4 linked regions of the Nothobranchius furzeri genome follow. The protein of the gene in region 3 purifies or fractionates together with the protein of the main gene of each other region. This does not show direct contact. Links are inferred from orthologs where the notes say so. Each region holds a gene or a part of one and is shown on either strand. Other genes may lie near its edges. The genes, in order: gan, xpnpep3, vimentin and sqstm1.

Evidence for each region.
Region 1: the proteins of vimentin (region 3) and gan purify together in Homo sapiens (affinity purification with mass spectrometry; 3 studies listed by BioGRID and IntAct, counting the BioPlex papers as one, with this or other methods). This does not show direct contact. The link is inferred for Nothobranchius furzeri from reciprocal best matches to the Homo sapiens genes VIM and GAN.
Region 2: the proteins of vimentin (region 3) and xpnpep3 purify together in Homo sapiens (affinity purification with mass spectrometry; 3 studies listed by BioGRID and IntAct, with this or other methods). This does not show direct contact. The link is inferred for Nothobranchius furzeri from reciprocal best matches to the Homo sapiens genes VIM and XPNPEP3.
Region 4: the proteins of vimentin (region 3) and sqstm1 purify together in Homo sapiens (affinity purification with western blotting; 3 studies listed by BioGRID and IntAct, with this or other methods). This does not show direct contact. The link is inferred for Nothobranchius furzeri from reciprocal best matches to the Homo sapiens genes VIM and SQSTM1.

Annotation. Positions count from the first base shown.
Region 1 is NC_091744.1:82,304,986-82,312,843, reverse strand, and holds the start of gan (gigaxonin), read right to left. Parts: upstream 4,949-7,858; 5' UTR 4,837-4,948; intron 4,522-4,836; 5' UTR 4,487-4,521; coding exon 4,302-4,486; intron 4,200-4,301; coding exon 4,085-4,199; intron 3,910-4,084; coding exon 3,559-3,909; intron 3,403-3,558; coding exon 3,334-3,402; intron 1,278-3,333; coding exon 1,126-1,277; intron 900-1,125; coding exon 778-899; intron 695-777; coding exon 582-694; intron 1-581. Other genes in the region: acd (adrenocortical dysplasia protein homolog), read left to right, coding at 5,968-7,524. UniProt on the Homo sapiens protein: Probable cytoskeletal component that directly or indirectly plays an important role in neurofilament architecture.
Region 2 is NC_091752.1:65,764,899-65,772,237, reverse strand, and holds part of xpnpep3 (xaa-Pro aminopeptidase 3), read left to right. Parts: intron 1-782; coding exon 783-967; intron 968-1,059; coding exon 1,060-1,122; intron 1,123-4,415; coding exon 4,416-4,529; intron 4,530-4,604; coding exon 4,605-4,690; intron 4,691-7,339. UniProt on the Homo sapiens protein: Catalyzes the removal of a penultimate prolyl residue from the N-termini of peptides, such as Leu-Pro-Ala. Also shows low activity towards peptides with Ala or Ser at the P1 position.
Region 3 is NC_091751.1:47,674,587-47,682,571, reverse strand, and holds the start of vimentin, read right to left. Parts: upstream 4,269-7,985; 5' UTR 4,121-4,268; coding exon 3,591-4,120; intron 3,413-3,590; coding exon 3,352-3,412; intron 1,061-3,351; coding exon 965-1,060; intron 746-964; coding exon 581-745; intron 310-580; coding exon 184-309; intron 79-183; coding exon 1-78. UniProt on the Homo sapiens protein: Vimentins are class-III intermediate filaments found in various non-epithelial cells, especially mesenchymal cells. Vimentin is attached to the nucleus, endoplasmic reticulum, and mitochondria, either laterally or terminally.
Region 4 is NC_091741.1:64,351,468-64,359,493, reverse strand, and holds sqstm1 (sequestosome-1), read right to left. Parts: upstream 4,761-8,026; 5' UTR 4,530-4,760; coding exon 4,367-4,529; intron 4,205-4,366; coding exon 4,109-4,204; intron 4,038-4,108; coding exon 3,763-4,037; intron 3,646-3,762; coding exon 3,492-3,645; intron 3,383-3,491; coding exon 3,314-3,382; intron 2,641-3,313; coding exon 2,486-2,640; intron 2,410-2,485; coding exon 2,211-2,409; intron 2,127-2,210; coding exon 1,966-2,126; 3' UTR 1,833-1,965; downstream 1-1,832. Other genes in the region: mrnip (MRN complex-interacting protein), read left to right, coding at 59-180, 409-472, 1,511-1,759. UniProt on the Homo sapiens protein: Molecular adapter required for selective macroautophagy (aggrephagy) by acting as a bridge between polyubiquitinated proteins and autophagosomes.

The sequences.
Region 1 (7,858 bases), on a different chromosome or scaffold from region 3:
ATGTTGAAAACCTGAGACGGTGAGGTTCTGGGTGAACGGACCAGTTTCCCCTTTATGGATCAGAACCAACCGTCGGTGGCTGAAAGACCAGTTTGCTTTGACAGCCTGCTTCAGGGGTAACTGAGGAGAACTTAGGTCCAAATTTACATTTGCTTTGCGGCTAAACAGGCGGAGGAGGAGGAGGAGGAGGAGGAGGAGGTAGAAAGCAGAACTTGAACAAAGTGATGAAGGTTAAAGTGAAACTGGATGAAATTTCATTTTAGCAGGACACGAAAAATCCAGTTTTTAATAAAAAACCTGAGCAGGTGAGTGAGTCCGACCTGTGAGGAGACGTTTTAGTGACACCTATTGGTCAAAAATAAAAACATTCAAACAAATCTTAATAGTTTTTTTCCTTTCGTGCTGTTTTGCGTTGCTGTTAAGGTAAATTTGAATTAGAGATTTCCGTGCATTTCCAAGTGCAGACTAAAAGAGTTTTCTGTATTTTCCTCTTGCATGTTTGCATATATGCATGCACTTACGTCATAAGCAGGAAGCATTTCAGTTCTACTTGTAACTGAAGAGTAACTGAAGTGGTGTACCTGCAGCATCGGCGGTACCGGGCTCCAGGAGTTGGAGTCCGGGTCGTATTTCTCTCCACTATCCAGGACCGTGTTGTTTTCATTGGTTCCTCCCAACACAAACAGAAACCCCTCTGAGAGACACAAGAAGATCCTGTTAATCACCGATCTAATGCTTCTGGTTAACGGACATTCTGAAGGATTTCTGTGAACCGACCGGCAGCGACGACTCCGTGGCCGAGACGGGCGACGCTCATGGGCTGCAGCTCGATCCAGCCCTGCCTGTTTGTATCGTAGAGCGGACACATGCAGCGCATCGCAGCTGTCAGCTTCTTGGTTCTGTGAAGAATGAAACCATCAGACCAGCTGGAACACGGTGGCTTCCCTTCCTCTTGTGATCTGTTAAGGTGGACCAAAAGTTCTAAAGACTTAAAAACTATTTGTTTTGAGTTCTTCAGCTGAATCTGAGAAACCCCAAAGGTAACACAGACGGGCTTAAAACAGGGTTTTAACTTCCAGAGAGCTGAGGAAGATTTCAGAGCCAGGAGAAAATGGGTCGGCCTACCGTCGATCCTCTCCTCCAGCGACGACGATGCACTCGGAGTAACCTCTGGGTTTGAAGGCGGCGATCATGGCCTCGCCCTGCAGCGGCGCCTCCGTCAGGTTCTTCTGACAGAACTCTCGGATCACCTCCCTCATCAAAGGCTCTGCCGTGGACTGAAGATGTAGCACCAGAGGACAAATCAAACCTAAAACCGAGGTGAGTCTAACATCCTGACATTCCGTTCAGTTCACTCAAAGAAAAAGAACTGGACAATATTAGGAGTTGAAGAAAAACAACATTTGAAACATTTTTTTATTCCAGTTTCTGAGTCGATTTTAAAGTTTGAGCTGCTGGTTTTTACATCAAAAGAGTTTTGTGATCATGAGAAATCTAACAAAATGAAAAAAAATATATATATATATAAACTAAAATAATTGAGGAAAAAAAGCCCTGGTGACTGCTGACTGCACAGCCAGACTGCAGCTCTCACATACAAGCAGGAGTTTATTCCTGACTGGTATTTTATTTGTTTGTTGGCATGAGTAACATGCTCCAGACGTCACGTGACTCTCAGAGAGTAGACGCCATGTTGGCAGGCAATAAAGGTAAACAAAATGAACGGGATCGACTTGGATTTTACTTCGTCTGAGTTTACTTCACACTGTAAAACCGAAGAAATCGTTTTATATAGCCAGAAATTAAATAGACTAAACATCTCCGACCCTTACCGTGCCCCTGGGATACTTTTTAAAAACGCCAGAAGCTGTCGGAGCGGACTTCTTACCGGACCTGGCCGGGGAACGCCCTGGGATTCCCCCGGAGGAGCTGGGCCCAAGTGGCTGGGGAGAGGGAAGTCTGGGCCTCTCGACGCTACTGCCACCGTGACCCGACTCCGGATAAGCGGATGAAAATGGATGGATGGATGGACAAATAATTACATGTAACTTAAGTAGTTTAAACAGAGTGCTGTGCTGTTTGAATGTATAAACTGAACGCCAAGAGAAATCACTAGTTTGATTTTTTTCCGTGAATAAAATAAATATGTCAGGCAGGAGCGTCTCAGGATCTGTCTGAGATCTGACTCGGTGAGACAGATAACAGCAATCCAAAGTGCTTTTTATGTGTGATCTGACAATTGATCAACCATTGCTTAAAAATTAAATACAGCTTAGCCGGTTAATTGCTGTGATCATAAAACACGTAAACGGCAGCACGCAGAAACACGAGGCAATGTTTTACGTGACGTTTACTTGTTGCTATGAGTAATAAGACAGAAAAAGCCCCGCCATAATACGTTTAGGAAGCCCACTAAGTATAGTAATAAAAGCATTTAAAATAATTACCACACACAGTTGAGGAAACGTTGGTTTAAGTACCTGATATGAAGCGGTCGCTGCATAAGCGAAAACCTTTACTCTCAGGATCCCACAGCTTCATTTAAGCCCGGTCACTAGCGCGTTTTATTACAATGATCCAACGTTTGCGGCGCTCCGGATCTTGGGGAATCCTGTAGATGGCTCATTCCTTATGTCGTCCCCTAACCCTAACCCTATCATTAATGTAAAAAAGAAACTCTAAATGAACTCTGTTCACATCCAGAATCGAACACAGGACTTCTGCATGAGAGTCAGACATCTTACAAGGTGAGCTACACTCTAGTAACATTCACAGTATCTGTAACTTTTATATCCTTGATGACAGCTGAAACAACGTCAAACCAAAGAACGGTTCGGAGTGAAAATGGCTATTTTGTTGCTAATTTGCAGGAAATATCTAGAAGAAAGTTCTACAGAAAGTAGCTAAGGGTCCTCAGAAATGTAGCTAGCTTTGTCACTAGGCGTTAGGAACAGCGACAAAGTGGCACTGCCTCTCTCTCTGCTGCTAAAGCTACGGATAGCAAATGCTACGGGCGATGCCTGAGCGTGAACGCGCATGAAGCAGCCTGCTCGACCCGAGCATCTCTCTTTTTCTGTGATTTTACAGAAAAACAGGCAATCACAGTAAAAATGCCAGGGCTCATTCTACAGGACCAGGGCATTGCAGGAGAATGTATGAAGAAGACATTTATTATTTCTATACATGTTTTGGCTGTCAAACTTCCATAATGCCCCTTTAAATAACAAATTAAATTATTCTGGAAGGAAGAATATTAAAATCTATAAATGGTCCTGAGAGATGGAAGTCTTTTCTGTTCCCAGAGCCTAAAACGTGCATTTCCAGTTACTCTACCTGCTCTCTCAGGTAACTCAGGTCCAAACCCTGCAGCCATACTGCTGACATCACCTCCTTCATGTGGACCTGATGTAGAAGAAGCTTTCATGAACCAAACACCAACAGTCATTACAAAACTACAAAAAATAGAAAAATCCTGTTGTTTGACTCAGTTTGTGTTTCCCTACGGTTTTTGTTTTGTTATAATCTCCGTTTCCGGCCTCCACATTGAGCCTTACCCACCCTGCGGTCGTCGGGGTCATGAGCGAACCATCGCACCACAGCCTCCAGTAGGTACTTCTCGTTCCCCACATTGAGCTTCTCCATGGCTAGCAGCTCACAGAGCCGATCATGGGGCAGCTCCCTGAACTCCTCAGTGAGAGCCACATCACGAAAGTGCGTCTGCAGAAACTCAGTGGCGACGTAGTGGACGTGATGGAGACAGTAACACAGGGAGAAGAGCCGGATGCCGATGCAGTTCTCTGCAGTTATGCAGCTCTCCAGGAACTGACAGCAGAGCAGCTTAAGGTCTGTCATGAGGAGCAGGTCTGACGCCTGCACCATGTCCTGGATGGTTTCTTCACTCAGGCTGATCTGTGGGAATAAGAGTCAAATATAAAATCTACATGTCATCCTGATCTGTAACTTTTTAATAAATAGTAAACAAAAGTAAATTCTTTAGGATTTAAGCAGCTGCTTTCTTTCGATGTGTCAAATCCTAAAATAGAGCTTTAACGGATTACAGTAAGAACAACGTGCCCAGACTCACTTCTCCGCTAAAGATGTAGTCCAGGATCTGCTTCATGATGACCATGGAGACTCCCTGCAGCTCGATCCTGTAAGTGGACCCATCTTCTTTGGGAGGATTGTAGTTCAGTTTAGTCCTAACACCAGAACATGGCAGAACATAAACGGCGGGATCCTTCCTGTGAGCAGCCACACCCAAATAGCAAATGCAAAGCCACACGTGTGCAGGTATGACTCACCTGACATATGGGCTGGCAGCAGCCAGGATGTTTTTCTGAACTGGAAGCTCTTCTCCATCGACAACCAGCAGAGCATCGTGAAAGCTTTGCTCCTGCCAGAAAGTACGAAGAACTCTGAGCAGCTTTTGGGAGTGCTGTGGATCCGAAACCCGCGAACCGGGTTCGCTGGACGTGGAGTTGGGCATGTCGTTAATCTGGACTGCCTACGCACTGTTTACTCCTGCAATCAGAGCACGACGAGCTATATTAGAAGAAATATTTATTACCTTTTTGCTTGTCAATTTAAACACTCCCGAAGAGTGTAAATTTTCACGACGATTCATCAAAGATACAATCTGTTGATCAACAAACGTTTATTAAACTGTAACTAGCTGAAAACTCTTAAACTGGCACATTTCTAAATGAGATTTGGCAAATCAAGCTAGGCTAGTAGCAAAATAGAACCTAAATGTAAACAAACGGCTAATGTGAAAAGACATCGTTTCAAACTCTACGTTGTGTGTTTTATTTTTAATACTTATTAAAAACGTCTTACCTTTAGGTTACTGAAAGCTTTGGGTGTTTCTGGCACAGGGAGTGCCGAACTCCACTCACAACACCATGAGAAAGGGTGGACATGTGTGGTGCTGCATTCAAGGCCATGGGACAAAACAAAACAAGTACGTAAACAGATGGAAAAAAATCATATATAAATTAATAAATAAATTTTCTATTTAAGATTAGAGCTAAGGTATTTAACACATATATGTTGTTGGTATGATAAAGTTGCAAATATATGGAAATATGAAGTATCATCTTTTCACTCCGTGAAACAATTAAGTGTGCTAGGTTTGTCAAGGATACATGAACGTTTCAGAAATTAGGCGGAAATGATGCGTAATCGTCTAAAAGCGACACTTTTAAATAGAATTTTATTGAACAAAAAAAAGTTGTACAAGTAAATCTAAAGCAACCCCTTTTAAGAAACTTTCAACGTTACTTTCAATATAAGTTATTCTATAAACAAAATGTTAATGCCTGTCATAACATACGCGTTCAATGTCCCCTGAATCTAGAAAAAAATGGTTTAATAGGTTTAATGAGATTCTACCCAACGTTAGTAAAAGCTTTATGTAAACGTTTTGATTTTCTATATTTTCTAAACACATACATATATTTTAAAAATACAGAGCACACAAGGAGTATACAATCAGATTTATTTTCTATATTTTCTTTTATTCTTGGCAAAGATCTAATCTGAAGCTAACGTTCGTGTCGTTAAAAGGGGAATTATTAAATGATGATGATGATGATGATGATGATGATGATGATGATTTGACACAGAGACGTTCACTTCTCCCAGGATGCGTTTACAATGTTGTAAAATATCTAATTGCAGAAGTTGAACCAAGGCTTTTTTTTCCAGAAAACCTCTGTTGAATTGGACCTGGTTTTTGTTTGCTTCGTTCTTATTTAAATATATATCATTATGTACTTATTTTAGTACCTCTTTGTATTTATTTTAGTTTAGTTTGTTGTGGTGGAACCATTCAGCGCTGGGACTGTTTCCTGGCGGAAGTTAAAAGCCGCGTACACAGAAACTTTTGTTGTTCTCGTATATGATGTCTGTGGTTTTTCCTTCTCGGACTGCATTTTTGTTGTAAGCTAAACCCCCGAAAGTTCGAACATGTATCGGCTCCGACACAAGCCGATGCAACCGTGGATAGAAGGCCTGGTTCTGAACTACAGCGACCGGGAAGGCGAGGAGGCGGGAGCCCCGGACGGAGACCGAACACCGGGAAGGAAACGCTGGCTGAAGGCGTATGTCCTCGAGGTCAGTCATCTGCCTGAATCCAAGCTTCGGGCCTTCGAGGGCCCCAATGTTGTGCTCTTTCTGTCCGACGGGCAGGTGAAGATACCGGCCGTGCTTACCGCCTCCGCCTGGGCGCGGATCCAGGAGGAGGAGGGTCGGGAGAACTTAAACAACTTCCTAAACGCCACGGTGCACCTTCAGGTCGAGCGGCTGCAGTTTGACGTGACTCCCGATAAGTTCACCTCCAGGTTCTACTTGGTGCTGAGCGGTCTGAGTACAGTAGAGGCCGGCCTGGTTAGACAGCACACGCCCTGCTACACCTCCCTGCCCTCCATCAGAATGAAGATCGATCAGACCTGGAGCGCCCGGCAGCGAGCTCAGGACTCCCAGAGGAGCCACGACGAACCCGACTTGTCCCAGCTGCTGTGGCAGGAAGAGTGGCTGCGGAGCAGCGTGAATGATGTCGTGGAGAGGATGACCACACACACGACTCCACAACCTTCCGCTTCTGCTTACCACTCATCTATAACCGGACCTGCCACCAGCTGGGACCAGGACCGGGTCAGGTACCAGGCAGAGACTCCTTTCACTGTCCCAGTGAGGTTTCTTCTCATCCCTCAGCATTTAGAGACGGGGACAGATGCTGGACTCAGGACGCACACAGGGACAGAGCTGGCAGCTCATAATGATGCAACCGGGCAGATTCCAGAACCGGCTGGTGTGGAATCGGTCCGTGATGCAGAAGAGAGCTCAGCTGTTCTGACAGAGGACGACTTCCCACAGGAGGAAGTAACTCGAAGGCCTACATCCAACCCCTGGGACATCTACCCTCCTCCGTGCATCAGCTCTGAATCTTCTCCAGAACCTACACCGACCCTCTCCGGTACCACATCTGGACCTGATTCTGCTACCATGGTAACCAGCTCACCTTATGTTCAGATCTCCCTCCCTCCCTACCAAAAACAGCAGAACAGCAGCATCCTGCCCACTAACTCAGCTGAGAAGAGTTTACCAGAACCTCCTGCCTCAGACACCACCCAGAACACCAGGACTCATCAGAACCTTCAAGCTTTGGACAGAGACTATCAGGACAGGGCTCAGGTCGACACCAGGAACCTGAAGAGGAAGCGACACGATGTCCCACTACAGAGGGTGGAGGAGGAAGAGTTCAGCCACAGCCCGCCATCTTGGCTCTTTGAGACCCAACCAGAACCCGCCAGAACCAAAGAGGGGAGTGGTCCAAAACAAAGAGCTGTGAGAACAACCTCCTCTGTTCACATCGATGGCAAAAGGTTCTCATACACCTACAGTGTGACCGGACAGAACCTGCAGGACTTCAGTCGGTTCAGAGTGGCTGCGTCTGTTCTGCACTGGGCTGTGAAGTACCTTTTAACTCCGAAACCAGCAGAACCTCCTCCAAACATCAGCTGATGGTACCACAGCGACGTTTCCTTTGGTTCAGAGACTCTTAAGCTTCTCTAGGTCAAGTGTGGATTTTTCATTCTACTGTCATCTGGGTCCAATTCAAACAGAAGCTAAAGTGTTCCGCTGGTGCTGTTTTATAAAACCCGATGCTGAAGTCAGGATTGATGAGGCCGGGTTCGGAGGCTTCGCAGGTTGTCTGGGTTTTTGTTAATGTTGAGAAAAAGACTCTAGAGCTTTTATCTCTGTGTCACGCGGTTCTGTCGGGACGTCGTGTTTCTGTTTCAGAGTTCGGATGTGATGAAAACAGTTCATCTTTGTGGAAAAAGATGGAAATGGTTCC
Region 2 (7,339 bases), on a different chromosome or scaffold from region 3:
GTCTGCTTCAAACGTTTGCTGATGTTTTTAGCTGAAATGGTGCATATGTATACTGTAGTTTATTGTAAAATTTAGTGTAATAGGTCCTAAATGTCTACATGCATAAAATGAAGCCATCAGTACCATTGAGATGTTTTCCACGGGTCACAAGCTTTCTGATGATGGGTACTTCTGAAATTTCCTCAGGAGTCAGTGTGCCATATCATATATAGACTACAGACAACAACCTGGTCATGGTCATCCAAAAGGGTTCGAATGAAGGCAACTAGACATCTTTGATTACTCTCATCTGATGAGCTTTGTCAGTTCTGACTGGATTAAAGGAGAGTCAAGCTTATAAACTGTAGCTGTCTGTTGCTGCTTAACAACCAGAAACTACCTATGAATACCCCTCCTCCCTACGCCCCAGATGATACATTTATGTCGTTAGGCCCTATTGTGTAATGACTTTTCTGGGGGATGGGAGGAGGGGTATTCATGGATAACAAAGAAACATAAATAGAACTGAAAATATCATATTTATGCTCTTCTCACACCAATGATGGGAAAAAATAAACTTGGTCAACATTATGTGTGTTAATTCTAAACAAAAATAAAAAAGTTTGGGCCACGAGGACTATTGGGCCTCATCTTGAAGTCTGGACATCCCTGAACTAGATCAAAATGACCTTCTGGATAAGAATGCTGTCCACCTGAGTTGAAAATAACATCAGCAGAACTGATCCAAGGTCGTTACCGGGTTGCTTAGTATAAAATTGTTGCTCTTTCTGCTCTGTCTTTAGGCACTCAGCTCTGGTACGACACCCCACAACCCGCTCACCCTCGTCTCCATCAGAATCACATGCTGCCCGTGCTGGAAGCAGGGCCAACTCCACACTCACTCAGACCCCTCGTGCAGTCCCTCAGGGCCCTGAAGAGCTCTGCAGAGGTGTCCCTTATGCAAGAGGCAGGCCGGATAACAGCACAGGTTCATCAATGTTTTCCTGTCCTGCTGTGTAAGCTAATTAGATTCAAGCTTTTGAACTGCAAAATAATCCATCTAAATTTTTTGTCTTTCAGGCTTTTAGAAGAACGATGGCACTGACTCAGGGAGATGTAGATGAAGCTGTGCTGTTTGCCAAGGTAATTAATAAAACTAATGACCTATCTGTGACTCTACATCTTTATTTATGTGAGCTCAGCTAATATTTTAGCTCAAAAATGGATCTTCAGAACTGGAAAAGAAGGGTCTTCTTAATGTGTTGTCCCATGTTTTTATTGAGGAGGTGTGTCTGTATGTGTGGAGGTGTGGGTGTGTGTGCTTGTGTGTGTGTGTGTCGGTGGGTGTTGGTTGTGTGTGTGCACTGTCTTCTCCATCACCAGTGAGTCGTGGTGGATGGCTGCTTACACTGAGCCAGGATCCTCTGGAGGTTTCTTCCTGTTAAAAGAGAGTTTTCCTCTCCACTGTCGCTCCATGCTTGTTTAGTATGAGGATTGGTGTAAAGACTCTGACACTAGTCAGTGATTCGATGCAACCTGCTGGGTTCCTTGTATAGAAAACTTTTTACTGATTGGCTTCATGAACTGACTTGTACTGTAATGTTTACTGTATGTTTACTGCCTTGAGACGACTCAACGACCCACAACTCCCCTCCCCCACAACAACTCTCTTTGCCTGGAAGGGTGTTGAGCTGCTAACACCATCACCATCTGTAACACACACACACACACACACACACACACACACACACACACACACACACACACACACACACACACACACACACACACACACACACACACACACACACACACAACTTACATAGGCAGCTGAGATGGTAGCAAATTCCCGGTCTGAATTATTGCCCCAGTCCATCTCTGACACTCATCCACCAAAGTTTATAGGGACCCTAAATAGTGATGCACCAATATGACATTTTTGGGCCGATGCCGATATCAAGGTCACTGTTATGGCCTATAACCGATATTTGCCGATACAGATATACTGACATTAATGCTTCTAAAATCAGCAGATTTTGTATGAAATGAACATTTTTAAAGCTGAATTTGCATTATTATGTACACACAACTATCAGTCAATCAGTCAATCAATCAATCAGATTTTATTTATAATGCGCTTTTCAAGCCAAGTACTACTCAAAGTGCTTTACAAAATGACCCAAAATTCCCATAACAGTTTAAAAACAGATGCAAAACATATGCACAGTGTCACGGCGTGTGGGCGAGGTGAGGCGAGGATCCACACGCGGGGAGGAAGACAGGCAGACAGGAAGAACGTTTTGTCATAAACTTTAATGAAAAACATGCAATACACTGAAACAATGGACCGACACAAGACACAGAACAGAAAGGGCTTAAATACACAAGGGCAGGGAGCTAAGGTGATTGGGAAATGAGAGGCAGGTGGGAGCAATTAACGAGACACAAGGCTGAACCAAAACGGGGAGACAGGACAGGGTGTGTCACACAGACACAAACACACATCAGTAAAAATTTATATTCGGCTGAGTCCAGATGAGCCAAGTAAGCTAATGCAAGGAAACACCATCCGAGGAGCCGTCAACCCCGGCAGCATCAGGTCTTCCACACTAAGTCAGGGCGTTCAGAGGAGGGGGAGCATGGACCCCACCTCCACTTAAACACTACCTATAGAGCGCCCAGGAAGCAACAGTCAACCACCGCTCCTGGGGCAGAGGGCCCCTACAGAGAAAACACTGGATTAAAATGAGTAAAAATATGAAAATAAAAGACCTAATATAAATGGCAAAAGTAAGAAAATAGATTATAAATAAAATCATATAGACAGTAAAATAATAATATTAAATAATGAAACAATGCTAAAATGTAATCATGTAAAACGAGAAATAAACACACACATTTACACTTCTAAGATGATTACAATCACTGTCACATGACCAAATAAATAAACATCACCCCCCCTCACCCTCTGAAACAAACAAATGGAGACAAGATGGAAAAATTATGGGTTGTTAATATCGGCCCAGTTTTATTTTTCGGACCGATACCGATATGTTAAAAAATGGCTGACATCGGCCGATACCGATATTGATGCCGATATATTGTCCTTCCCTAACCCTAAGTCACGTCCATCTGCTTCTGGACCATGGGTCCCCGGAAGAACGAAAAAATGAATCCAAGTTAATGGGGCTAAAAACACTAATTTCTAATTCTGCTTGTTATTTGCCATGGATAAATATGCATTTCGATACCAAGAATGCACTTATTTTCTGGGGGGGTGGGGGGGTGTTAGGTTTTGTGTGAAAATAAGTCCAGGACTACAAATGAGCATCACAAAAGTGACATCATCGAACCAGACACAGAGAAAAACAGAGGGAAAATGGCTGAAAGTTTTGCTAACTTAAAATCCTTCCTTTCGGAGGAAAATACATCATAAATCTGGCCATTTGGTAAGTAGCAGCTACGCTAGAGGAAAAGAGATTATTTGGTGACGGGTGATGTGCTGATATCTAATTTGTAGTCATGATGATTACGAACATTTACAAGCTGATAAATCTCAAAGTACGTGACTGGCGTAGTCAAAACACCCATCATTAGTTTTCATTTAAATTGCAGTACAACATGTGTGATCCAAGGCATAAGGCAAAGCGAATTAAAAAATTGCTCTTTTAGCCCCGTTGACATGCATTCATTTTTTCGTTTTTCCGGGACCCATGAGCCGACCGGAATGGGAGGAGACCTATAACCACTCAGCTAGCAGCTGGCATTTTGGTTGTACTCTCCACTCTGGCCTGTCCATTGATTCCACATTGGAATGGCGCTGGTTTGAAGTAATCTGTCTGACAACCAACCTTGGCACTGGCAGAGGTTCAACAAGCAGTCTGAAATCACAATCACATTCTGGCTCAGTTTTTTAGAGCTCCTAAAGATAAAATCCAACCATTGCTGCTGATTATTCAAGAAGACTGGACAGGGATACTGTTCCTCTTGCAGACATTTCATTTTTGGGTTCTAGGCATTATTTAAAGTGCAGACTAGATAAGAAAAAAATCACTTCTTCACAACTGCTAACTACAGGGAGAGGCTGGATGTTAGTAATTACAGTCCGGGGATCCAGACTTGACAGACCACTTTGATGGGGAGGAGCAGAACATACTAGTGCACTGCCTGTTGAAGGAATGAAGCAGCTGAGACAGAAAAATGTTTGTGTGAAGCCAAAAACGCTTTAGTGATGTTTCTAATGAGGAAATAACAATATATCGTGGTCAAAAGCTTCAAAAAGTGGATTTTGCAAAATAGTCTCTTTAGATGTTGGAAAACTCAAGTGTGAGTTTGAAAAACAAGATAGTGGTAAAAATATTAGTTTTAAGGAGTTTTTAAATTGTTTATATGGCTTTCAGAATTTATGACCTTAAAATATTTTATTCTTTTTCCAGTTTGATTTTGAGAATCGAATTCACGGTGCCAACTTCCTGGCATATCCTCCTGTGGTAGCTGGAGGGAATCGGGCTAACACCCTGCACTATATAAATAACAACCAGATTATCAAGGTAAATAACACATGCAAGAAGTCATAAATCGAGTATTTTAAAATATTAATCCTACATTTTTGCTCCTTGTTGTAGGATGGTGAAATGGTTCTGCTTGATGGTGGCTGTGAGTACTTTGGTTACGTCAGTGACATCACTCGAACTTGGCCAGTAAATGGACGGTAAATTGGATGTTGAACTTGTCAAAGGACCAAAAATGTTGATACAAATAAAATGCATACATTTAGTAGCTACTTGGCGGCAAAAGTAGCAGTTGATGTTTGAACTTTACATGCAAACAGTATAAAGCCGTGTTTTACAAGTCCTGCAAACAAGAGCTGCTCAATGTTACATTTAAGCACTGACATTGCAATGTACAAGTGCATAACTGCCACGTCATAGGTCCAGTTGCGGTGTCGGAGGCATGTGAATTAAACGAGGTGACATCTAATCTAATCTAAACATGACATGGTTTGGGGAATGCGTTTAACCCAAGACATGCAGAATCACACACTCACAGATCTTATGGTAAAAAAATAATCTTTATTTTAAAACGGGAACTGAAGGTAAACTGGAAAAGCCCAGTGGAGATTGAGAACGGGAGTGCAGCGTCTGAGGACGGGAGAGCAGATGCAGGTGAGTCCAGGAAGGTAAGTCTAAATTTGGTGGGTGCAGAGAATAGACTTACTTGGGAGTAGGGGAGCGTAGGAATGAAGGAGGGCAGGTTGGGTGCCGGGGTGAATCCAAGTGGGGTGTCCAGGAGAGGGACCGAGAGGAGAGCAGGAGAGCGGGCCAGCCGGGAGGAATGGAGAACGGTGAGAGCTGCATCCGGAAATCTTATGGGGCACAGGTGAGTAATCCCGAGGAGTCACAGAAATCCAAAGACGTAATCCAGAGAAGTCGCAGAAGTCCAAAAACTTTCCAAAACCTGGTAACGGGTAAGCACAGGGAAAAGATCCAAAGGTTCACAAAAAAATCCTAGAAACACTAGAGCACAAAATCCAAGAGTCGCAAGAGGGCAGGAAACTACCAAGCTGTAGTAATCATCCGGCGTTGAATCATCTTCTTCTTCTTCTTTTGGTGTTTTATTGGCGGTTGGCAAACAACTCCGGCGTCGAATCATGATCACCATCCTTCTTTTAAAGCCGACCCGCTCATCACGCTGATCAGGATCAGCTGTTGCTCCCTCTTCTGCAATCAGAACACTCAGAGATGGTGAATGATGTGAAGAGTACTCACCCCGGCTCATGACAACAGTGTGGTCAAAGTACACCCACATCACCTCGCTTCTCCTCCAGATTCACTGGCTGCCAGTCAATTTCAGGGTTCATTTCAATATCCTGGTTCTGGTCTTGAGGGCCTTACATGGACAAGCACCATCATACACTGGTGATCTTCTCAGTCCCTACACCCCCAGCAGGTCCCTGAGTTCAAGTGACAAAAGCCTACTGGTTGTGCAGCGCCAGGCTAAAGACCAAAGATGACAGATCATTTGCTGCTGTGGCCTCCAGACTCTGGAACTCTCTCCCCTTGAGCCTGAGATCAGTGGACTCCTTCAAAAAGCAGCTGAAAACTCACCTGTTCAAGCTGGTTTTTGTGTGACCTTCATCACCACCCTCTCTTCGTTCAGCTCAGAACAGAAGAAAAACATGTTAAACTACTTCTTAAATGAAATATCTGTAGCGTCATGAATGTCCTGTTTTTGACCTAAAGGTCATGATCTGCGTCTGCTCGAGCAGAGACATAAAGTCTGACAGCCTAATCTACATGAGATAGTGGCCAAGGTCTTTCATGCACTCTGCTCATCTGAACTGCTTCACCTCTGTTACAGCTCAAGACAAAGAACTCTTTTGATTAATACATAATCAACAACTTTGTTATTACCAATAATAATGTGAGCCCAATGTTCAATCTGTGAAATGACAATGTTAGTACTTGATATTATAATCCTGTGATCAGTAGTATTTTACAAGTTATTATAATCCTGGACATTTGCACTAGACACTGATGACACGTAATGCTAAAGCCACACGACACATTTCCTTTTGTCTGATCCAATCAGAACCTTTGTTTATGGCTAGGCATGGTTATCTGTGGTGTTTGTATAAAGCCTCTTTTACATGTCAAATTCTGATTCGCCAGTAAACCAAAATATGACAATTATAAAAACTATTCCACACAACCTTTTCTTTAGTTCAAGTGTTCTGGAGAAGTCTCGGACAGGCCATCCGGACTTCCTCTTCAGCCAAAAAGAACCTCGGCAAGCTGGATAAAATCTGTTGCAAGTTACACCTGACCGCAACGGTTCCTTCAGAATAAAAGCTGAACCTCACGACCCCTTCAGGGTCTCGGAGACGCCAGTGATAACCTGTCGTGACCTGGAAGCATTCCAAGACTAGTTTGGTTGGCACCGCTGCTTTTCTACCGGCTTCGGTTCCAAGGAGGGTCCAAGAGGACCTCGGCATTCTGGATCTAACGGAGGCTTCCCCTGGGCTACGTAGACCGACAGATGGCGTTTCATGTGTGTTATAAATCTCCTACTAAAGTTTAGAGCGAAACATTCACTCCCACTCAGAACTAACCGCTTCTCCGGATCCGCTGGTTCTGATAACAACATTCCACACACATACACCATCCTCTCACATCTCATTCCACCTTAGTCCATCAGTACACCGAGTGTTAAAGTTAGTCTTGTTTAAATTGTGTAGAAATAAATTTCTTAACTATTATAAACCTGACTCTCTCTCTTTCCTTGGAGTTAATACGAAGTGTCGCTTAATCCCTGCAATAAAAAGTTCTGGTCTTCTGGTTAAAATATTCAAAGATCCATC
Region 3 (7,985 bases):
GATGGTGTCCTGGTGCCTGCCGGTCTCCAAGGAGAAGTTCTCCTCCATCTCTCTCATCTGACGCTCCAAAGACTCATTCTGTCACCACAGCCAAACGTGAATGAATATGCTGCTTCTCCTTTTAACTATTTGTTGTCAGTTTGATTGCTCCCAGTCCCAGATGCACGAAAACTGCACACTCACAGTTCCTTTCAGGGCATCCACTTCACAAGTGAGGACTTGAACTTGGCGCCTGTAGTCATTGGCCTCCTGCTTGGCTAGTTTCAAAGCTTCATTATTCCGGGCTGCAGCTTCGTTCAGGTCAGCAAACTAGAAATCATAGTTGCAAACGGAGGGGAAAGGAGACATGGCTGACAATTCGACTCTTCCATAAATGATGAGTCAGAGACTGAAGGAGAGGAAGTGCAGTGAGAGGGGTGAAGTGGGGAAATTTTGCAAGATCTTGTCATGAAAGGCGACCATGCATGATGCTGTAGTTTTGAGGCTGAGGATGTTTTTGTTATGCAGACATTTTTACTAAATAAAAATAATAAATGGCCATGCACTAAATATTCTACTCTATCATTTCTTGAAATATCACCTTGGATTTGTACCATTCCTCCGACTCCTGTATGTTTTTGGAGGCCAGGTTTTCATACTGCAGGCGGACGTCCCTCAGAGCCGCCGTCAGGTCAGGCTTAGCCACCTCCATGTCAACCTGCACGTGCTGCTGCTGCTGGACTTGGTTCTGCAGCTCCAGCATTTCCTGCAACAGAACCAGCGAGGCGAACAGAACAGTCTGTTTTAATGTCCCTCTGTGCTCTGGGAAAAGCTCGAAATCCAGCTAAATTGGCGTTTAAGTGGATTAAGAAATAACTGAAATGATTTGGCTTGGCTTTCTCCATAAAGGTGTCTTTCACAAACTGCAGTGCACATGCAACATTCCTGCAGCACAGCGATTCAGCTGAAAACGGGGAGAGCTTACCTCATCATGCAGCTTCTTGAGAAAGTTAATCTCATCCTGGAGTGACTCGACCTTCCGCTCCAGGTCCAGTCTGGCGAGGGCAGCGTTGTCCACATCCTGTGCCACGACATTGACTCTTAATAAGGCGACTTGTAAAGGTGACAAGAATTATTCATGATGCATTTGCTGGCAGGGACTTTTAAAGAAATGCACTTGCATGTGCTGTAAAGAGCATTTAAAGTGTTTCCCCACACACAGATGTCCCATTGTGTAGCAGATAACACACATGCATTCAATACAAATCAACTGCAGGCACATGATGTGTGTCACTAAAGAGTGGATGTTGTCATGTGTTGTGACTGCAAAGCCACATGCTAGAGGATGCCGTTCGTACTTATGTGAGCATTTTATTATTCATATCTCTAGTGAATCAAAAATGTGTTGAATTAATGCATTTAAAAAATTAAACTATTCTAAAAAACACATCAATGACTCCATTTTCCAATTTTTTTATTCAGTAAAGGGTCTCATTCAAACCACATAATTAAAAAGGTCCTTAAGCCCATTTATAAGCTAAATTTATGTTTATTGTGAAATTTCCTTCTAGTTTCTCTGAATGAAATTAAAAATTCCAACAGTGATGGAATGTTTAGTCATTATTTCATTCCTCCACTTAATTAAGCACGAAGCTTTTGTTTTGGAAGACAGAACCCATAATGAAACAAACCTGTTGTTGTGCCAGTGCACAGCTTCATCGGGGCGTTGGCAGGCCGTTGATTGAGGTATCAGCAACAGAAGCTGCTTTGCCCATGTGTTAATGCCACAAACAATGTGGACCATTCAGCAGGGGTTCCAAAACATGCCCAAAGGCTGGAAGAGTGACTGTCTGCCTGACTGAGCAGGAGCCGGCTGCTGGCCAAACATTGTTGTCTGTTTGCCACGGAGGCAGACCACTCATGCAATTCCTTCCTGCCATACAACAACCTGATTTAAGCCCAAATCTGCACCGAAAAAACATAAAATCAACAAAATGTGTATTTATGTGTTTAAGTTATTCACCAAAGTGATGTTTTTGACCTATTTGTGTACAGTAACCGCCATATAACTCTATTCACATGACCTATCAACTGGAAAACCAGTGACAGGGAACAGAACCATAACAAGAGAAATTCTTATGTGAACGAGACAGCCGGATCACGCGGTGGCCCGTCTTCTCGCTCTGATAACCACATCAGACCAGTCAGACTCCAATCGAGCAGAGCAAACTTGGCCTTTTGTACCAGCCAGGCCAGGGCACTCTTTAACTGTTCGGAATCATGTCTGGAACCTGCTGTTGTGTCATCAGAGCGGTGCATTCCTGCCTCTGTGGCTCATGAGCCAAAACTAGACAGATTACCTAAAAGAGAAAAGGGATGCACTCCACTGCACAGTTGGAGGTTTGCGTCATCGATTTGGGGATTTTGGGTCAAAGTTATGAGAAGCTGGGGGCAGTTGGTTCACAACTCTGTAGCCAGATTTCTGACAGGGAAGTCGGCACACATCACTCCTGTGCTGGCCTCATTACATTGGCTCCCTGTAGATTTTCGGGCAAAGTTTAAAGTTCTCTGCTATATCTTCTGGTCTTTTTATGGTGATGCTCCACCATATTTGGCAGAACTAATAAAAAGACACCCCATCACAAATTCTACGCTACTGACTGTCCCTGTCATGTTCTGCCCCTGCCTTCCTGACTGTGTCTTTCTCCTGCCCTGATTAGTCCTTATTGTTCTCACCTGTCCCTCATTACTCTGCTCTTCCTGATTTCCCTGTGTATTTATATCTCCCTCCTTGTACCAGTCTTCGTCGGATCATTGTATGTGCATGTGCTCGTTTTGTCCTGTCGCTCCCGTTTACTATTAAATCCATTTTTATTTCATCTGTGCCTGCTCTCCTGCCTCCTGAACTCTCCACCACACATTGTCTGCCATCTCCTCCCTCACATGACAGTCCCAAATACTAGGTACAGATCTAGAGGAGTTCGGGCTTTCTTGGTCTTGGTTCCTTCTTTTGGAATGAGCTTCCATTTGATATTAAACCATCATTACAGGATTTTAAGAGTCATTTGAAGACTAATTTGTATCCTTTGGCTTTTATGTGACTTGGTTTAATGCTTTTATGCTGCTTTTACACTTCATGTTTTAAGTGTATTATATGCTCAGCGTATTGGCCTCCTGCAAAGGCAGTTGCTATATAAATAAAGATTGATTGATTGATTGATTGATTGATTGATTGATTGATTGATTGATTGATTGATTGATTGATTGATTGATTGATTAATTGATTGATTGATTGATTGATTAAAGCTGAGCAATTTTGCAACAAAACAGAAACATTTTTTAGCTAGCTGAAGTCATCATTCTATCTCATACCTGTCTAAAACTTTGCATGTTTGCCTCTGCCTCTTCCCTCTGGGAGATTTCATCCTGCAGCCTGCAGGAGGGGAGAACACAGAGAAAGCTGTTATTTTATATTTAGCATAAGCAGGAGCTTTCTTCCATGCTTCTTCTTTTCAGTTTTGTCTTCTTTGATTTTACTTCTTACTCATCTGAACAGCTGCAGAAATGAATAATAACAATAAGGAAATCATGGCCACATGTGCCACGCCTACTTCTCTCTCAGCCTCTCTATGTCATCCGCCAGATTGTCCCGGTGGACCTCCACCCGGGCCTTCTCGTTGGTGAGCTGGTCCACCTGACGCCGCAGCTCCCGCATCTCGTCCTCGTAGAGATCCCCGACCCGGGACGTGCCTTTGCCCCGCAGCTGCTCCAGCTCCGCCAGCAGGATCTTGTTCTGCTGCTCCAAGAAGCGCACCTTCTCGATGTAGTTGGCGAAGCGGTCGTTGAGCGACTGCATCTGCGCCTTCTCGTTGGTGCGGTTCGTCATGAACTCGCTGTTGATGGCGTCGGACAGGGAGAAGTCCAGGTTCTCGGAGGCCAGCCGTGGCATGGCCGCGCTGCTCCGGAGCCTCTGCGTCTTCATTGCGTAAACGGTGGTCGGAGCGGAGGAGAGCCCGTAGGAGACCCGAGAGGAGCGCAGCGGGCTGGAGAACTGGCGGCTGGAGTAGCTGGTCCGGGCCGTGGCTCGGTCCCCTCCGAACATCTTTTTGTAGGAAGAATGAGGAGCTGGTCTGTAGGACATCTTACTGGGTTCTGTTGAGAGTGTCCACCTCACCTCTGCAGCATCAGCGGTGCCCTAGAAAGGCGTTTCCCTCTCCAGAACTTATTTATAGCCCCCTCCTCCTGCAAAAAGCGCCAAGTAGAACTTGACTGACACCCCCAGACTCCAATCCTAGATCAGAACACACACTTGGCTTTCTGAGGCCAGATGCCTTCTAAGGTGCACAACAAAACTGAGAAAGGTCACAAAGCTCTTTTGGATGGAAAAAAAATCTCCCTTTTTCTCAATTACTTGATATATGAAGTGGTGAGTCTAAGCTTCTAAATAAAATCTATTAAAGTTAACAGGCGTTTTGTGGGTGAGGTTAACATTTCAATACATTTAAATAAAGTTTTGAAAAATACCTTATAAGTGGAAAATAACTCAATAAAGGGACATATTATTACTTTTTAACTTATAGTTATAATAGATCTGTGGTCAATACAAAACAGGTTTATAATGTTCTCTCACAAGGAGTGATTACTATTATTCTTTACATTTTCAGTACCTTCCAGAATGAGCCATTTGAGAGCTCTGTCACTTTAAACCTGCAATAACAAATCTCTAAAACAAACTAGAATTTAAACACAAACATGGTCACGGAGTGCTCACCCCTCCCTTGGCTATCATCCCCAAGCCAAGTCCCTTGATACCAGAACCCACATTGCCACAGTAAACAAGAGACCGCTAAAAATCAGTCGCATTTTCTATATCCAAAAATCTTTTGTTTTCCATTGTAACGTCCAGAAATGGTCAGTTTTTCATCCACAGTTTGACCTCTTCAGTATCCAGTCAGATGGAGACATGAGTCTACATCTAGTGTCTTTAATCTGCTGAATTCTGCTATTTTATCAGCTGAAGTTCAGGCCTCTGCAGCTTTGAACACATGGATAACATATTGTAAACAAAACTGTTCCCGTTTCAAGGCCTTAAGCTTTCTCTTATCGCTTCTACAGGATTCCTCCTGCCTCTGAATAAAAGTGAACACTTTCAGCTCATATGAGTTAATTAATCACATAATGAAATAAACAATGTGGTTAAATGAAATGTTTTGTTTAATCTGTGCTTAGATTAATAAGGATGAAATGAAATATATGACCCATATATTTAATCAACGTACGTGACTTGACAAGCACACACTCATACATATGACTAAAGTAATCTCATGACACATTGCTTTCTGATCCACAAATCAGAGCTACTGTATCTGAGGGAGGTGTGTATCTGAGGTTGGTTGGTAAAACCCCTTTACATGTCAAATTCTGGTTGGCCATGTAATCATAATATGGCAATTGTTAAAACAGAATCACTTGCTGAGTAATTCAATTAGTTTTGAGCCGAACTCCGGACTGGCCACCAGAGGAAAACTCTTTAACCACCGCATCTCTTGACAAGCTGTCACACCTGTTGCACGCTGCAGCTGACACAGCACACGGTTCCTGCAGAACAACGCTGACAGTTCCGACTCCTTAAGAGTCCAACCGTTCTAGACGCAAACGAGTCCCCCTGTTTTTCACGACCCGGAGGCATCCTAGGACTGACTTGGTCGCATCGAAGTTTTCCTACGAGCCATGTGCAGTGGGATCAATGACTCTTTGACATCTCAGATCCAAACAGGGTCTCCAGGAATAGGTACATAGGCACGGCATGAATTGTCTGATGCCGTTTTGATGAATCAATTCTTCAGCTTATAACAAACAACAAATTCTTTTCACACCCAGAACCAAGCCTGAGTTTCTTCTAGATCCAAGGTTCTGATAAACATCACACACCATTCCATCATCAAACATCACATTCCATCCACTTATATTCATCCATCACATAAAGTTGCTTATAGGTCATGATTTTTAATTTGTTTAGAAAATACATTTCTTGACTCTGTCTGAATTAATACGAAGTGTGTTTATGATCACTGAAAAGGCAAAGAATCCTAATTCTTCTGATTAAACATTCAAAGATCAATCAGGTTGATATCCTATATTTATATAGAATATCACATCTTATTGGTCATAAGTAAAGGTAGTATAATAAGCTTAAAAGCAACATATTATACCCTCTTACACCGGGAATTCAAAATGTTCTTTTCAATTTTAATGCAATGTTAGAACATTGTTAAAGTTGCTAGAGAAAATTTGGAAAACAAAATAGCCTAAAACATTCTAACATGTATAGTTATGAATTTATTTTGGCGATTAAAAAAACGAAAAAATAAATAATGAGGTGGTTCTCTCGTATTTGTCTAAATCCCTTGGCCAATAACATGGCTCATTCTGAAACCAAAGATTGGACCATCCGGTTAAAAACAACAAGCTGCACTTGGCCACGCCCACCCATCTCCTGCTCAGGTTGCTATTAGCTGAGAAGCTCCGATATATCAGAGGAGCCTGCAGCAGAGCATGCTCCTCCAACAGCAGCTGTCTCTTGCATGTAAGAGACGGTTCTGTCCTAAATTCCCCATTTGTGACATCATAAATATGGACTCTTGAAAACAGCTTGTTTTAGGGACATGAAAAAACAAATGCTGACAGAAAATGGATGGACCAATTCCTTCCACGTTTGGAGAGACCCAAGGCAGCACAAAAGGGTGAAGCAGTAGCGGTTTTAGGCACGGGCAGACAGGGCAGTTGCCCGGGGCGGCATTTTTTCATGACACAAAAGGGGCGCACAAGCGCTGAGTAAAAAAAAAAAAAAAAGGAAATCTGCGCCGCACCGAGGTTTTCTATTATCGGTTATATGACAGTGTCTGGATTGGAAACAGCAAGTTGGCGCCCCCTGCAGCTGCAGGCGCTCATGCTGACTGAGAACGTTCACGTGCACCGTGTGTCTATGAAGAACAGGAAGGGGAGGGGTGCGGCGGGGGAATTCACCTCTGCGTCTTTCCCAAATGAAATGAGCGTGCAGGGGCTGAATCAACTGTATTAACATGGCTAAAGTCAATCACATCTTAACTTTCTTCCATATTTCATTCATAATATCATAAACACAGGCCTATCATTCTTTCAGGTTTCTCTGAATTGTGTGAAATGGCCGAATAAAAAAAGGAAAAACAAAACGATTTTGTGGTCACCCCCCCATCAAGGTCAAATTGTTTAGTCCTGACTAAAGGAAACTTACTGAGTTAAGAGCCAAACAGAAGAGATGAACATAAAAAGGCTAAAACCACCAGGTGTTCGATTCAGGGGGAAAAAAAAGATAAAGGTATGTAGCTCTCATGATGCATGTTTTCAATTTTTTGAACCAGTTAACTGGGATTTTAACGGTTAAATGCGGTCAACTAATTGCTAACAGAGCTAATAGGGCTGAAATATTGAAACGAATATTCAAATGGTTCGAAAAAAGTCCTTGAATCGTTTTTTACTGATTCAAACTAGGATTTGTTAAATGCTCACTGCAGCCTGTGGCCTGCCTGAACAACAACAAACACATGTTGATCATGTTCACATAATAATAAATAAAACAACTCTACAAGCAGAAGGAAACTCCCTAGTCACCACTAACTGTTTATTTATTGCAGATGGCTGCACTGATTATTTTTTACATGGTTTGTTCTGTAAAAGTTGGCATTTTTGGTAGTCTACAATTTTTTATGTCAGTTTAAATTACAATTTCAGAGGCAATTCTAAAATATTATGGATCATGATAAAGATCTATTGGAGATCTACCCCAACTTTTGGACTGCTCTGCCAGTCACTGTGGCTCAAGCTGAGAGGAGCTTTTCAAAACTTGATCAAGTCATACCTGAGGTCACCTATGTTTCAGGGGCGGCTCACTAACCTGGCTCTGATTAGTATCAATCACTCAGTAGGGGAGCAGATTTCATGTGATGACATTATTGATGACGTTGCAT
Region 4 (8,026 bases), on a different chromosome or scaffold from region 3:
ACCAATTCTAGTCCATATGTGGGCTTACTAGATGACTCAGGTATTTTTCTGGCTGTAGGTGAAACTGGTTAGTCGCTGGAGCAGATACCTGGACACACCTGGTGAAGATGACTCACGAGAACATGAGACCAAGAACAAGGTTGTGATGAATAGTCTCCATGGCAACATCAGGAGTAACAGGTGACTGCATAGCGTGTTTCAGGCCCCGCCCACTTACCTGCCTGTTTGTGTGTGTATAAACACAAAACCAGTAGATATGCCTGGATCAAACAGTAAAACCTCCTGTTTGTTATTGATTTAACTGTTCTATAGTGGGTCTGAACTGGTTGTTGTATTGGTTCTGTTGTACAGGCCTCGATGCGGCCTGTCTGGTCTCTAATTATTATTGTAAAATTCGTCTTGTGACAGGAAACGGCAAAGATCAGGAGAGTGCACAGATGAAACACAAGAACCCTACTGCACACCTGCACAGGTAACCTGCTGCTGCTATGTTGTACAAGACCTTATAACATTGTACTGTCCTTTTAAGAACCACCTGACCATCAGCCAACACACAAAAGTGCCTTAGTCAGGCGTGATCAGCTGTGTGGCTCAGGTGGTGGTTTGGCCGGTTCTTCATGTCAGACGCAGAGGTTTATTTTGATTATGTTTATTGCACTGGGGCTGCAACTATGTTGACTTTAAATCTAGTCTCATTCCATTCAATAAGATACATTTTATTAGTTTTATTAAATTCAGTATTTATGTAATCGGAAGGTTCCAGTAAGGGTGCACATTTTATCTTCCAAACCTGTCGTCTTAATGACTAGTAGCTTTTAAATTGCCATTATCAAAATTACATCAACCGGACCAAATGGGTATTAATCATTAAACAAAAATGACTCCTACAAAAAGATTCCATTGGGTCAAAATATCAGATATTACTGGACAGTTTTCCGTGTTTATACTAAGTTTTGTTTGTCTATGTTGTTTATCCTTGGGAGCAAACTTTAGTCCTTCTTTTCTTCTGGTTGGTATTAAACTGGCCTCTATTACTCCCTATTATTATCCAGAATCTGCGTTAAACTATAATAACTAAATGCTAATTTGTCTTCTATGGTAAAGTTAAAGTCCTATCAGTCGTCATCACACACACTGGTGAAATTACATCACCACATTTGACCTATCCCTGTGGGGAGTGGTAGGCTGCAGCTGTGGCTGGGCTCGGGAACTATCTGGTGGTGTAAACCCCTCCAGTCCATCTCTTTAAAGGTGAATGTCAAGCAGGGAGGCATAGGGTCCCATTTTTAAAGTCTATGGTATGACCCTACCCTGATCTCCCAGTCCCAGGGAAGACACTTTACCACTAGGCCACTGAGATTAACAATGTTGCAAAAAGTATGAATATCCAGTTTCAGATCGTAGTGATGTCACACGACCAATCTCTACTCTGATTTGATCTTTATTGTAACAAGTGAGATGTTTTGCTGAGACAAGTTAAAATATTTCTAATTTTAATTCCTCTGTACAGCCAGAATGTCCACCAGGAACGCCTCCAGCCCTTCCTGGTCCAAGCACTGCCTCCAGGTGGGATTGTTTCCTCAGGGATGACAGACAGGATGAGGAAGACGAGGCTTTTGTTTGTGGCCAGAGTCAGACTGATGCTATAGCTTCACAGCTGTGCAGTAGCATCACTGCGACCCGCCCTCACATTCCTGTTCTTTCCATGTTTGAGAGTGGTGAAGACTTCAGCTGTGATGATGACTTCCTTAAGTTTTAAATGTGTTTTGTGCCGTTTACATCTGAGCTGCTCGTTTAGGATTGTTATGAGTCGATTCGTAGACATTTCAGAGTCATGTTTTTAAAATGCGTTTATTGATTAGAAACAAATCAAAAGTTTAATAAAAGGTAAACACAGAAAAGTGATTAGTTATTAGGTGTGGACAGGTAATTGTCAGACTAAAAACAGAAAGTAGTCAAATGATGTCACTGGCGTGGGTGGGACTGCTTGGCGTACTGGATGGCATCGAGTGCAGCTCCAATCTCGAAGTTTTTAGCCTGAAGGAGCCGAGTCAACCAGCCGCCTTCATCTGTAAAACCCATCGAGAGCATTGACGCCAGCGACTCCACCAGGCGGGGGTCAGCCTCTGTGGGGGACAAAGGGGAGGGGCTTAATAGGGACAGGACTACCAAAAAAAAAAAAAAACTTGAACCGCAGAATCTGAACTCACCTTGAGGCAGGTGTGGATAAAGAGCTGCCTCCCGCAGACCTGTGGGTCCCTCCTCGGTCCCTGACAGAGGAGCTGGACCTGGACCTGGACTTGGACTTGGGCCTGAGCCCTGGCCCTCCAGCGACTGAAGCTCACCTGTAGATGGATCAACCTCTTTAGAGCTGAGATGAGTCCACTCATCATCTTCATCTCGGCCCACCTGCAGATTTGTGTATTTGGTCAGTAATTGTCATTAATTAGACTGATCTATTAGTTTTTGTCTGAGGAAGACTGACCTTTGGCCCCTGCTTTGCTCCACCTTCATTGCTGGCTCCACTTTCGCCAGCTCCCACATCCATCTGCACTTCACCCTGCTCTTCCTCACCTTGAGTAGGTGAAGTCACCTTCATCCTTTGCCCCTCATGCTCCACGTCGATGTCCACATCAATACCTGCACATGCACAGATAAAGTCCCTACTTCATCAGGATTCTGTTGTCAGGAAGTTTAATAGAAACGGTTAAATGTGATATTCTGATCTTTCTGAAGGGATGGTCAATAGGTCATATATCTACAGTACAGACACTGCCTGCAGGTGACATCACCGAAGGTGAAACAAAGTGCTCCTCTGAACAGAGGCTAACTAGTCAGCTTGGTAATGAAATAATACATCGTTTCTGGTGTTTAAAAACAACCCATAGTGACGCGTTAGCACGCTATATTAGCAGTTTTTAAAGCCCTACAATTTTACATGAGATTGTTTCTTTAGTTTATGCTGTTTGTTTTATTCTAATAACGTTTGAAATACTATGCTACTGCTACTGCCTGTGTGCCATTGGGTTTTCACTCTGCCCAAGTGGAGCAGCCAATTAGGAAAAGCAGGACATTGAGGTTTTTCTTCTGGCTAATCCTGGAAATTAGCTTCTAATGTCACAGATCCAGCTAGCCAAAAGTAATGCTCTGGTCAGAGGACTTCCTATTCCTAGAAACAGTAGTTTGGAATCTAAATTGACAGAACAGCACTTTAAAATGACTTTAAATGTCTGAATGACACTCGTGTGCGTATTAGGATGAGTTCCCTCTTGTTTATTGCACATTAAAAACATCTCCAGGTAAAACAACTCACCTAGTGGGCTCAGCATGGCAGCCACGCCCTCGCCAATGTTCTTCAAATAGTTCACGCTGACCTGAGAAGCTACAGAGGTCAGAGGTCAGTCTCTGTTATTGGACAATGGCTCTGAGTTGGACTCCTTTTGACTGATGACCAGTTTGTACATAAACACAGATCTGTTCACATCACCTACCAGAGGAGGTGCTGCAGTCAGATGCTGAGCTGGAGGGAATGGTTTGCTCCTGCTTCTGGTTCTGGTCCTGGTTTTGGGTCTGTGCCTGGGCCATGTGCTGGTTCCACGTGCAGTGTTTCATCTTTTTCATCCATTTTCCTCGAGGAAACCACTGCTAAATAAAATTTTAAGAAAACCACCGATTTATCACATTTTAATCAGGAAATGTGACTTGTTCTGACACCTGCCAGTGGTGACCTGAGCTCTGACACCTGTCATCCAGGTTACTCACCTGTAGAGGGTGCCACACGGGCAGCAGAGGGTGCTCAGTGTGGGTCCCTCGAGCCTGGCAGGTGGAGCAAAGGTCGTAGTCTGGACACACTGAACACTTGAAGCGCGTTCCGACCACAGGGCCCTCACAGCCGTCACAGGTGACGTTGGGATGGACGGCAGGGGGCGGGCCCGGGTGAGGAGGTGGGGCATGAGGAGGTCCATGTTGATGAGGGAGCCCGAAAGCGAAAGGGGGGAATGCATGAAGAGGGAAGTCCCGGCGGTGCTCCTTCTTTTCTGCAAGAGTTCAACAAAACTTTAGTCAGATGGAACCTTACAAAGAAATAACAGGAAGACGACTTGTTTACCTTTAATGAAGAGGCGAAAGGTGGCGTCCTTGACAAAACCCAGTCCCATCATCAGCTCATCATCAGAGGAGAAGGCCACCAGGTCTCCATCTTCATCTAAAACACCATAACTCAAACATCAAGTCCAAGCACAGATCAGGTGGCACCAAACATCATTCATCAGAATATTAAAAACAATCCAGAACCAGAAAGACACGCAGCAGAAATCCAGTCAGTGTTTGGGTTGAAACAGAACCAGCTCTGATATAAGCGCCTCACCCTTGTAGAATAGGTTGAAGTTGCTCAGGTTGGAGAAAGCTGCCGCCACCTTCCTGCTCAGGTACTCGAAGCTGCAAGAGACGTCCTGGTCCACCGCAAACCTGCGGATCTCCTTCACCTGCTCGTCCTTTCCCAGCAAGTAGGCTTTCACCGTCACCGACATTACGAACTCAATCGAACCAAACTCCGAACAGAGACAGAAAAACAACCAAACGGAGAACCAAACTCTAGAACTTTGTGACGCAGCGGTAAATTTCAGCCTCTTTTATGTTTACTTCCGCATTCTATGTCATCGTCTTAAGATGACGTAAAGACGCACACAGCCTCCCATTGGTCCTCATTGAGCTCCGCTAATGAGGGACCATTGCCGTCTAGAAACATCTTTTTACACAGCACGGTGAGGGACTTTCCAACTAGTCACGTGAGCAGGTGTTAGTTGGGAAAGCCGCTTAGTCATTGTGACGTGGCACATTGTTTTATTTGTTAGAAAAGTGATTGATTTGTAGTTTATTAATAAAAAAATATGAAAATCCTAAATGAGTGGATCCAGCTGAGAACGCAACTGCAGGTCTAGAAATCCAGCAGAGAAACATAAACATGCATGTTTGTGTGTGTTTTAACTGAGCTTTGGTTTCAACCCCGACATGCTTTTTCTGTTAATTATCTGCTGAAGATAACCCCAGTCCGTAATTACTACAACAGAGTCAAGAACCCATACACACTTTTACAGAATTAATCTACAGCTAAAACGAAAGCAATCTGCAAATCCTGCTCTAATCAGTCCAGATTCAAGCTGATTTTCTGCTGTCCAGTTGTAAACAATTAGATGGGATATGAAATGTAAAACATAAGTCAAACTCTCAGTATTCCTCAAACACCTGAGTCATCCTTGCATCACTCTTTTCAAATGTCTCATGAGCTTCTGTTTTGATCAAATGTTTGTTTGCATCTGTGATGTCACCCAGCCGCTGCAGCCAATCAGCAGCAGCATGAGTCATATGACTTGCTGACTCAGAATCACAAGATGAAGCTGAAAACCACCCAAACCTCTCATTTAAAGCCTTTAAAGGTCAATGTAGTGAAAGTCACTGCATTTGAAACTGTTATTCAGTTTTGTCAGCTTGACTAAAAACAATTTATAGAATCAAAGATTTTTAATGGAAGAATTAGCTAAATATTTTCTGACTACATTGTATAAAGAGCTCTGATTACATAATCAGGTTTCAACAACCTTAAGGTAAAATTAATTTAACATTTAATTTCAATTATTTAATTGTAATCATTTGTTTTTATTGCTTTGGTCCAATGATAAACATGCATGCTTGGATTTCTTTTTGTTCTTAAAACAAAGTTAAACAATCCCAGAATGCATCAGTGCTCTCAGCATCCTGGAGCTAGAGTGAGGTTCTTCCAGTGAGACTGATTAATAGCCAAATGAATCCACTTTTAAACCAGGTAACTGAATGAATTACAGACATTGAGACAAATATTTATTTAAACCAGTTAACACCTTGCACCAGAATCAGGTCCATAAGGTTTTACATCTCCAATCAGTCAAAGTTGCTTCTATAATAGAAACCAGCTGATTGGATCAATCCAAAGCAATTCTCTATCCTGGGCAGCACCAGGCTATTGATTGATCGATCCTTTATTTTGGTTGTCATGTTTACAGAGAAGATCTTCAAACAACTAAGATACATCACGATAACGTCATGAATTACAACCAAAAAAGGAATAGGCAGAAGCAATGCTTATTTTGGCCTATTCTCCACCTACAGCAGGTATGTATGTGCTGAATAAAAGAGAGAAAAAAACATTAATATTTTACACATCCTTTTCATATTCTTTAAGTATTTCATACCCAACATATGCTTTAAATATTGGTAAAGAAGTACATGTCTTCAACTCATCATTTAACTCATTTCATAATTTCACACCAATAACAGACACATCTTGAATTAGCATTAGGTTTTGCTCTAGCACATTCAAAATTAAATACACCTCTAAGATTATATCTCTCTATATAGGTATCTCTAAATTTGAAGAAAAAAAATCTTTTATACTATTTGTGATATTGTTATTAGTTACTCAATTGAGAATTTCAAAGATTTTAACTTTTACAATATCACTTAATTTTAAACTTTTATTTAGTATAAAACTGTTGGTTGGTGTAAGATATTCTACTTTGTTAATAATTCTAATGGCTTTTTTTTGTACTTCAAATAGACTATATACATATTTTCCATGCGTTTCCCCAAATCTCAGCACAGTATGATAAAAGGGCAAAACTAAAGAACTGTAAATCAAAAACAAAGCCTTTTTGTTTAGTATGTCGATGGATTAGTAGAGTATTTCAATAGATTTTGAAACTTGACATTTGATATATCCAATATGTGGTTTCCAACTAAGTTTACTATCCAGTCACCCCTAAAATTTTAGCTATGTGTACTCGTTCAATTTGAACACCATTTAAGTATAGTTTAGCATCATCATTATCTCCGTTTCCTGAAAATATCATAAATTGAATTTTGTTTTAATTTAATGATAACTTATTATGATCAAACCATTTTTTTATTAAAAAAATTATTTTTCTACCATTTGCAGTAATTCTTTCATGTCTTTCCCTGTACAAAGAAAGTTTGTATCACCTGCAAACGTGATAAAGTTTAACTGAGTCGATGCAGAAAATATGTCATTCAAATAAAGCGTGAATAATTTTGGTCCTAGAATTGTGCCTTGCGGCACACCACATTTTACTTTATCAAGTTGCAAATCCCTATTGTTGACAGTTACAAAACTTTGCAACCATTGATTTGTTTTTTCTCGAAGACCATATTATTCACATTTTTTAAGCAGTTGTGTATGGTTGATTGTATCAAAAGCCTTGCTCAAATCAATTAAAACACCCACTACATTTAGTTTCTGATCAACTGCTTTTGCATTATGCTCTACAAATTCCATGACTGCTAATGAGGTTGAACGATTTTTCCTAAAGCCACTTTGATGGTCATTTAAAAGATCAAACTTGTTGGTAAATGCTTCCAAGTCGAATTTCAAAAAGTTTCTCTAATACCTTTGAGAACAGCAGCAGTATAGGTCTATAGTTGCAAGCTAGTGTCTTATCACCACTTTTGCAAATAGGAAAAACTGGCTATTTCCATTTGTTCAGGAACTATACCACTCAAAAAGGATTTATTGCAAATATAAGTAACAGGTTGAACAATGCAGTGTATGACTTCCTTAATGAGAAACATATCTATCCCATGAAAAACCAAGGACTTTTTACTTTTAAATCTGTGTACTACTTGTAAAGCATCGCTAGGGCTTACACCACTTAGAAACACCATACTAGTATTAATTATTTAATAGTTGTCAACTTTTGAGCTAAATTAGGGACATTCACAAAAAAATTATTTAAACCATTTACAATGTTCTTATCTTCATTGTTAGTCATTATACCTGCTTCTTATTATTTGCCATTAGTGTGTTTAACACCATCCAGGTACCCCTAATATTGTTTTTATGTTTTAGAAGTAGCTCATCATAGTATTTAAAAAAATATATATTTTTTGCTTCCTTACTATTGTGGTTAATTGATTTTTGTATTCCTTATACCCTTTCTCTTTTTCCTTTGTTGGATTTTTAATAAAATCCAGACAC